2 linked regions of the Drosophila melanogaster genome follow. The protein of the gene in region 1 interacts with the protein of each later gene in a pairwise test. Each region holds a gene or a part of one and is shown on either strand. Other genes may lie near its edges. The genes, in order: CG4631 and CG6380.

Evidence for each region.
Region 2: the proteins of CG4631 (region 1) and CG6380 interact in a two-hybrid assay, tested with the Drosophila melanogaster proteins (one large-scale study listed by BioGRID).

What each region holds. Positions count from the first base shown.
Region 1 is NT_033779.5:16,605,512-16,610,549, reverse strand, and holds CG4631 (uncharacterized protein), read right to left. Parts: upstream 3,181-5,038; 5' UTR 3,061-3,180; coding exon 670-3,060; 3' UTR 513-669; downstream 1-512. Other genes in the region: CG31815 (uncharacterized protein), read right to left, coding at 3,273-4,604.
Region 2 is NT_033779.5:17,290,256-17,293,739, forward strand, and holds CG6380 (uncharacterized protein), read right to left. Parts: upstream 1,948-3,484; 5' UTR 1,854-1,947; coding exon 972-1,853; 3' UTR 820-971; downstream 1-819.

The sequences.
Region 1 (5,038 bases):
ACCCAGGGGCCAATAAAGTGAGAGGCACTTGTTACCAATACGATTCTCGGCTTTAGCGGAAAATTGCGCTCTTCCCACAAAACATTTGCCTTTTGGCTCAAGGCCTTCAGCTCTTCAGTACACGCATACATATATAACAGAAATTAAGGGGGTGGTAGACGTTATGGCCCCCAAAGTACAGTAAAAGCAACCAAAACGAACTGAAAGCTGAATGCCTCAAAACACAAGAACACTCGAGATTTTCAGCCAACTCAACTCTAGAGGAATAAGGTAAGTTTCGATTAGTAGCATGGTTTAAAGGAAATCCTTTTCAGCGGCCAGGCATTTGGCCGCATCATCATCGTTATCATTATCGATGTTCTAGGCCCAAATGAAATGCGGAAAAGCGAAACCAACTTTACCACAAGTGTGCTGCAGTGTTGCGGCTTTTAATCAATGCTAGGGAATATTTACCTTTTTGCTCATAAACTAGGCGAGAGTTTGAATAGTTTCAGTTAAACAAGTACACTTTTCAAACGAAAATTTAATAGGCGGTCAGGCGTGGTATCTCTATACAATCTCGGGTTAAGCTTAGTAACAAATATATACCATATGGATTTTAGATTATTCAGGTGAATATTGGATATAACATCAATCCGATAGATATATATATATTAAATAACGCTGCAATCATAACAAATAACTCAATTTCTTCAGTGTTTCCTCTCTGGAATACAATACTTTGGGCATGATTTTACAACTTTTACCGTGTGGTTTGTTTGGCTTTGCTTTGGTATTTCCATAATATTTATTTTGAGAACCCATCGCTGCTCGTTTACTATATGTGGGCAGTTCGGTACCATCTTCTGAATGCAATCGTTTTTTCCTAAAACCTCGTTCCGGTGACTTTCCCGATCTTCGGCTAAATACACTTTTTGTAGCACTTTTATCTTGACTATGAAGCTTACTGAAGTGCTTAGGTATCTGATCTCCAGCTTCAAGAAGAACATATTTTTCTGCTGGCATCACTCTTTCATTGCTGTAAGGTGTGGGTACACTAAATCGTACCCTTTTATTATTTGTATTCATCTCTAATTGTTTCTTTAAACTTTCCAACTCATCCTGGCTTACGTCCTTTAACTGAGTCTCTTTAGGCTTCTTTATGATACTTTTTGCAGGCTTTATTAGCATTACGGATTCTCCGGCAGTTTTTCTATTAAATTTTAGATTTCTAGCCCGTTCTTTTCTATAATCTTCGGGATCAGGATATTTTGGTTGAGGAATTATTTCATTCTTTGCCAAATGCGGAGTGTTATTTACAGATTTAATTTTATAGGTATCTTGTTGAATTTGATTTTTTAAAGTCTGCTTTTCTTGGCTACTACAAAGTTGTTTCACTCGATGTTGTGCTGAAACATGAGTTCGATTATTATTTGACCTTTTCGAAATTTCAGGTTTTTCGATTTCCAATTTCTTTTGGTTTTGCCTCGCCGATCGCAAGGAATTATTGCTTCTCTTCGTTATAATGTGGGCACTATCTTTCCTTGATTGAGAATACCCAATCTCTTTTGAAGGGAATACTGGTTTGGTGTCCTTTATTGCTTGCTGAAATGCTTTGAACTTATTTCTCTCTATCATCTCATTCCAGAAATCAAAAGTTCCCTTAGTTTTCTTTGCATCATTAATTCTTTTTATAAAGAGCTGCTCCCACTCAAGTTTTCTTTGTTGTTTAATTGGGATTATTAGATTATTGGAAATATTTTTTGTAGGCTGATTTTGATGATCCAGTATTTTTTTCTCCCAACTTATAGATTGCAACCTATTTCCTTGGTTAAATCTATTCTCAGATGGGTAAGTGTCTAAAGGCAATAGACTACTTCCTTTGAAGGGGTTATCCCGTCTGCTCAAGTGTTCATATTTACTTTTAAAACTGTGGTACTCTTCATCCAAAGGTTGTCGTCTGTAACGCGGTATTTCCAAAGGAAGACCACCACTTGGTAGACGTATCATTCTCTGAGGATCTCTGTGCAGCCAACTCCATGGCATACCATTGAAATATGGTTCGGGCATCATGAAACCACCGGAGAATCTGTTTTGGTTCTCAGTACAGGGTCTTACCCGCGGCCTTGGTGGCCTTCCATCAGCAAATAATTGTCTTGTATGTTGGTTTTGTACGACTGCAGCATATAGATTCGAGATGTGATTAATGTGAATAATTTGAGCTGCTTTTGGTGAAATGGGTGCCATTGGAATTTGCTGATTATAGTCGGAATCTAACATGGAACTTTCCAGTTCCTCTGCGCAGACCAACGATCTCATGGCCCCAGGCCTATTTGCATACGGGTTCAAAATTCCGGATCTCTGGATTCTGGGACTTCCGGCCTGGCAAGGACATCGATGGGGTGCATAGCCATATGGTATAGACTCATCCGAGGGATAACTATCTAGATCGCCACGTCTTTCGTATCCCAATCGCTTAAGTCCCGCCCACACATCACTTCCCTTCGATGGTCCTTTTTCCGTAATCCCCCGTCCCGAGAATGGCGTCATGGCATTTTTGCCACAATAACCGGGACTGTGAATGTTCCTCAAATCATCCGTCTGGCTTCTGCATCCCGAACAAGCGCTATTTTGTCCACATCTCTTCGGTAGATTGAGAAAATACTGGATCATGGATATGAGGATGAGCAACGTCCTTGTTGGTATGGAACCCCTTATGTTACCACATTCGTCGAATATCCCGTAGTATAGCTCACAGATGTCGGGTATAACAAACGGTACCTTCAGCGTATTCCAGCCTAACATCAAAGGATATAGAATTCTCGCAAAGACCTGCAGTGTCAATTGGTGTAGAAATTGGCAGACCGTACTGGACGACTTATTGACCATCTTGGCCAGCACCTGGATCATACAACCGTTTCTCTGACCCCATCGCCTCTCGCCCGAAACACAACAGCTGGCTGCCTTTCGTCCCTCCAAAAATGGCCGACAACTTTGGACACGCTGCAGACGTGGAAACTGAGGAAGACAGGCCATCGGGTTCGTGCGATCGCTATGCGATCTACAGCAGCAGGAATTCATTTTGGCCTGACCGTCTTGGCGTTCCGAAAACCAGGTATTTACGAAAGTACAAATTTTGTGATTGCCGCCAGTTCCAGACTAAAATTTTGAATGATTTCTGTGCTGTAATTTTCGAAGCATGCTGAGATACTAAAAAAAAAAACCTTTTACAATAAGCCCATTTAGTTTAATATAAATGGAAATACATTTTGAAAAAAACCTAACATGGGATCTTAAGACTCTCGTTTCTGCAATCTTGCCCTATCACTCAATGACGAATGAATTGAAGCCTCATCCTTGAGCGGCTCTATTTCTTGCTTCATGGATCTGCTTATATATGGCTTGATCCTTGTGGTTGAGAATTTGTAATTGGAATTTCGAATAGTACGTTTTGATTGTCGCCGTTGCCAGGTCCAGTTCTTTTTATGATCAAAAGGTTCGTGGAAAACCATTGCGTCTTGGTCGGCCAAGTATTTTCTGGGCGACTTGGAGGCTTTTGGAACCTTTGGATAGTTCTCCCTGACCTTACCTATAATTCTCCAAGGAATTGGTTCATCTGACGGTGTCTGAACAATGACATTGTAAAGCCGGGAAATCTCCTGGGCGGTTTTCATTTCACGTTTGTAATCTGCCCGTGTCGTTCCTTTCCACTCGAGATCAACCTTTTTTAAGGCTTTCCTCAAATTTTTTTCATTTATATTCATTCCTTTTCTGGCGATCAAGTCTCTTATAAGAATGTGAGTACGTGTTGTTCTCAAATCTCCCACGGGACCTATATAGCTATCCCTAAATCGATGTCGACCCAAAGTTTTCATCAGATATTCCGCATAATCATAGGACTTGGCATAAGCTAGGGCAAGTTCATCATTGAGGAATACAGACTGCCGACCAAAGGTCTTATTTTTTCGCTTCTTTTTTTCCATTTCAGATTCTGATTCTAGTTCACTTTCTAATTCAGATCTCATTACCGGTTGAGGTTTTTCAGTCTTTTTTCCCGTTTTTTCCCTTTTCGATTCACTTGGATTGCCAAGGAGCTGAGAGATCCAATCTGAAGAACTCATAGCTTCTAAATCACTCTGCTCAATATTTGAACGACATTTCGCCTGGTGTTCGTCAGGATACGCCTCGTAGATGGGCGAGTCCTTTCGATCATTAGGCGAATCACCGTTCAAATAATCCAGCAGTAACGGAAGTAAACTTTTAAGACTCCTTGCATGGATGGGACTTCGTAAGTTGCCACGATGATCAAATATGGCCATGTACCGATCACAGACATACGGATAACAAAGGGGCACATTGCAGCCATTCCATCCACACTCCTTGTATTTCAAGAGGTCACTATAGTTCCGTAGGCTGAGATTAAACAGAAAGCCATCGATTTCATCGGGCTGGAATCCCACCAGCTTTGCCAACTGTTCGATTTCCATTTGGTTTCTCTGACGCCAAAGACAATGCTCCTGGGATAGACATGTGGATCTAGACGGTTGTTTTTGGCCAATCGAAACTATCTTGGATGTCCAAGGAAAATTTGCTGTAAGGCTGCAACATATTTTTCGCATGCTCATCCTGTGGCAGATGCTTTAAATTTTGAATAAAATGTTGCTTCTTAAAAGGATCCAAAAATGTAATCGAAAGCCTACACCACAGGGGCATTGTGGTTCAGTAAATTTTTGTTGATCGTAACACTTTCCAAGGAAATACTGGCAATTAAATGAAAGCCAGCCGAAAAACAAATATCCGTTAAATACAAAATTGTGCATATTATTGATTATAGTAAACAAATAATTACACTGAGGCAAAATGATGTTCCCTGTAATGTTATGTGTAAATTAAAATTGATTTAACTTCAGAAACCTATCCCAAGATTTTGAATATTAAGTGAACCTTAGTCAATTTAAGCCTAGAACAAATCAGTTCAAAACGATACTCATGCCAAAATCTGTTTATAGACCATGGTGAAGCTCACCTTGTCAAACGAACTGGCAGGTGTAAATAGCCC
Region 2 (3,484 bases), 680 kb from region 1:
ATCTGTGCTAAGACCAAACATCTCTAAATAAAATGCTTGACCTTAACGTTTAAGTTTTATTTACAAGATCAACGTTACTTAACGTATTTGCCTTTACTCATTTTCTTCTCCGAAAGTATTTGCAAATAAATCTAATTGAAATCTATTCAATGATAACATGGCCCCATAAATATTCATGACACTTCCCCCAACCACCATCCGGTTTTGTGTTGTCCTTTCATTTGCAAGCGAATTGACCGAAGCTTAATAATAATAAAACTGAACTGCTACGGCATTTAATGGCTAAATTAAACATTTTGCATAATTATTTCAAGTGATTCTGCAGTTGTAATATCCGAGGAATTATCTTAAAGGGCAGAAATCAGTTTTCTTCACAATTGGAATGGCCAGAGCATGAAATCAGAATGAAAGCGATTGGCCGGAAGGAAAACTCTTCGGTTGCCTAGACTGTCAAAAGGAATTTTCAATCACAAAACAAAATGCCAAAATAAGTTAAACTCTGGCTGTGTATCCTTGTATCTAGCTTCGGCCGAATGATGATTACCGTTAGGACATTGCGTAATTAAATATTCCCCAGACCAGTGAACTTTCGGAAGCAAAGTATTAATAGATGGGGAGCAAATGAAGGTTAGTGGGTTAATCATATCAACATCTCAGCAATTAGCCTGGCCAGTGGTACTTAGAATTTTCCTATAATTTCCTTAGCAACTTAGACGAGGCACGAACAGGAGTGGAATGACCGAAAGTTATTGGACACAATTTTTGTGATTGAGTAATTAAAGATATTTATCCTTGAGTAAAAACCATTAGGCAACATTTGTTAAAAGCTTCTTCTACAAAAGAGTGTAGATAGATGTAGTGTAATAGATACTTTCTGTCAAATGCATACACAAGTTTTAATCCCCAATGGTTTGTTATAATTACAAGTTTCTTTAATATAACTTTGCAATTTTTAACACTACTGAATGATTTCAGCGGGTCTCTTTCTTAGAAGTGCCAGGACGATTATCAGGGTTGGATTTACATATACGAGCAGGAGTAGGCTTCTCGGACGTTATTTTCAGTGAACTCTTGTGTTCATGTAGATTTTGGGTTTGAGTCGGAACAACCGAAGGGTATGGGACGCGAGGCTCGCGACTTGGTTCATCATCGTTGACCGATGGCATTCGATGCAAGTGCGTTAAAGAGGCCAATTCTTCCGGCTCTGCTTTGCTAAAGAGCTCGGCCTTCAGTTTTTGGTAGCAGTGATGGCTGGGGGAGAAACCTGGTTCAGGCTCAGAATGATCTGATATCCTGTATTCGGATTGACTTTCAGAATATGAGTATTTTGTTTGCGTCAAGTTGCTTGCTTCGCCGTCGAGTTGATTGTTTTCACTGCACGCTTCACAAGATTCCATTCCCCCTTCGCAGTGAATATTAAACTCTGAACTGGTCAACTCGGCAAACTCGTCGGCTATAAGACGTCGAGCCAGTGGAACCGAATAGAACTCCTTGTAATGCACTTTTCGCCGCCTCTCAAACTCCATTCTACGCACTTTTTCCTCTACAGACTCGGGAAAGTCCTCATCCGCCGAGGATTCTTCTGAGTCTCCTTCGATGCCAAATGCCGGCATTTCTGACTTTGATGTGTGTCTCAACTTTTCGATCAGGGCATTTGTATCCAACTCCTTTGGCAAATCCTCCTCAAAGACGAAGGGTGTCTTTGGTTCGTCGATGATCATGTGGCCGTAGTCCTTACCAGCCGGGTGGAACGTGGCCAGTATGTTGACCTCATCAAATTTGGCTGCCTTCAGGCTAAATTGCGCACTATTGTTTCCCGACTTCAGGATGCCCTTTACTTGGTCCCCATCCATTCTTGTTTGTAGCTATGTGTAGTTTTGGCCTTTGAAAGGAACTAATTACCGAACTAAAATGTATTAGTGTAAACTTGTGTGTGCCCTATATGGCTTATAATATTTAACTGATAAAATACATTGTCATCGTCAAAAAATATATAAAAATCGTGGGCTCCTTTTCTTGGAAGATTATTGTATAACTTCATTACATTCGCGTACAATTTTTTATTTTATTTTTAATTTATTATCATAAATCTCTCTATGAACTCTGCACTCAAATTACTCTGTTTAACATTTTAAATTGGGATCTAATTATGTAGTAGAAGGTATGCCTGCTTCAAGTCACATATTATCTTCTTATATTCGATTTTAAAATTACTTTATTTATTGTTACCATACATATTAAATTTGTATGTTTACGTATGTTGTTTAAATGCTGCTTAGTGGAGTTTCAAATTCATTGTTACTCCATCATTATTCTCTGGTAAATTAAGCCAAACATGTTTATTAATTATAAATTAAGTCCTTGTCTCCGTATCGAGCAAATACCCAACCCCTAATCTCGGATAATACCAAATCTCCGATCAGACTGTGGACGGATTCACTTTCAAAATATCAAGTGGTTTTCCTGCTGCAATCTCGAAGTAATCCCTGTTGCCATTGCTACTGTTGTTTTTGTGTTGAGGATGTCAAGAACTCGATGTGTTTGTGTGTGGATGAATGTATTCGGTACTCCAATCGAGATACTTCATAATCCGCGGGAGCAGTTTCCAATCGCAGCCATCGAAACCACAAAGTAAACTCATTTTGACGTGTTCAAAATGGGGTTTTGCCGCCCGTTGGATGGAATGATAGGGGGTTTTGTAAAGCGGAGTCAGAGCAAGGCTTCATTATTGATGCGCCATAGTGGAGTTTTTGTTATTGATGTAAACATATTCATCACAAACATGTTACCTCCGATACGGACGAAAACGTGGAAAATGGGGGAAGTGGGGGCGGTAAATCAAGTGATGATAAGAGGCGTGGGGCAACCAATGCAGTTGTGGCAGTTGCAGTTCGCTCTGTGGCAGCTGCCACTTCAAATAACTTCACTGCACACCGTTTTTCCCGCTTTCTCCCGCTTTTCCAAAGGGAAAAGTGAGGGAGTGCCGCATGTGAAGAGGGGCTAGAGGTCACGGAGCGCTGTATTGGGAATTGATTGCAGCACATTATTTCACAATTTTGCCAGCAAATAAACAAGCCTTTGCCGGAGTACGTTCAGATACGAGCCCAGACACCGCGAGAAAAAATGCGTAAAAATATTAAAGCACGATGCCTTTAATATTTTTATATTAATATTAATATATTTTAAGGGGAGAGACAATATTATCAGTTTCCGTTTATCTGATGGAATGACTAATTAGGTATATATTATTCAAAATGTATATTACTAAAAATTATAAGCTAAATCCGTTTTCTCGCTGTGTAGATCCCCGATACGCTTGCACGCATGTGACGAGCGGATGCTTATAAGCACAGTGGATGCGACAAAACAGCAGCATAAAAGTGACGATGACGAGGATATGTCCTCCTTCACTTGTTCCTCCACGCGATGATGACGTTGCGATGTTGTGTCCTGTTGCGAGGTGAAGATGATGATGATCATCAAC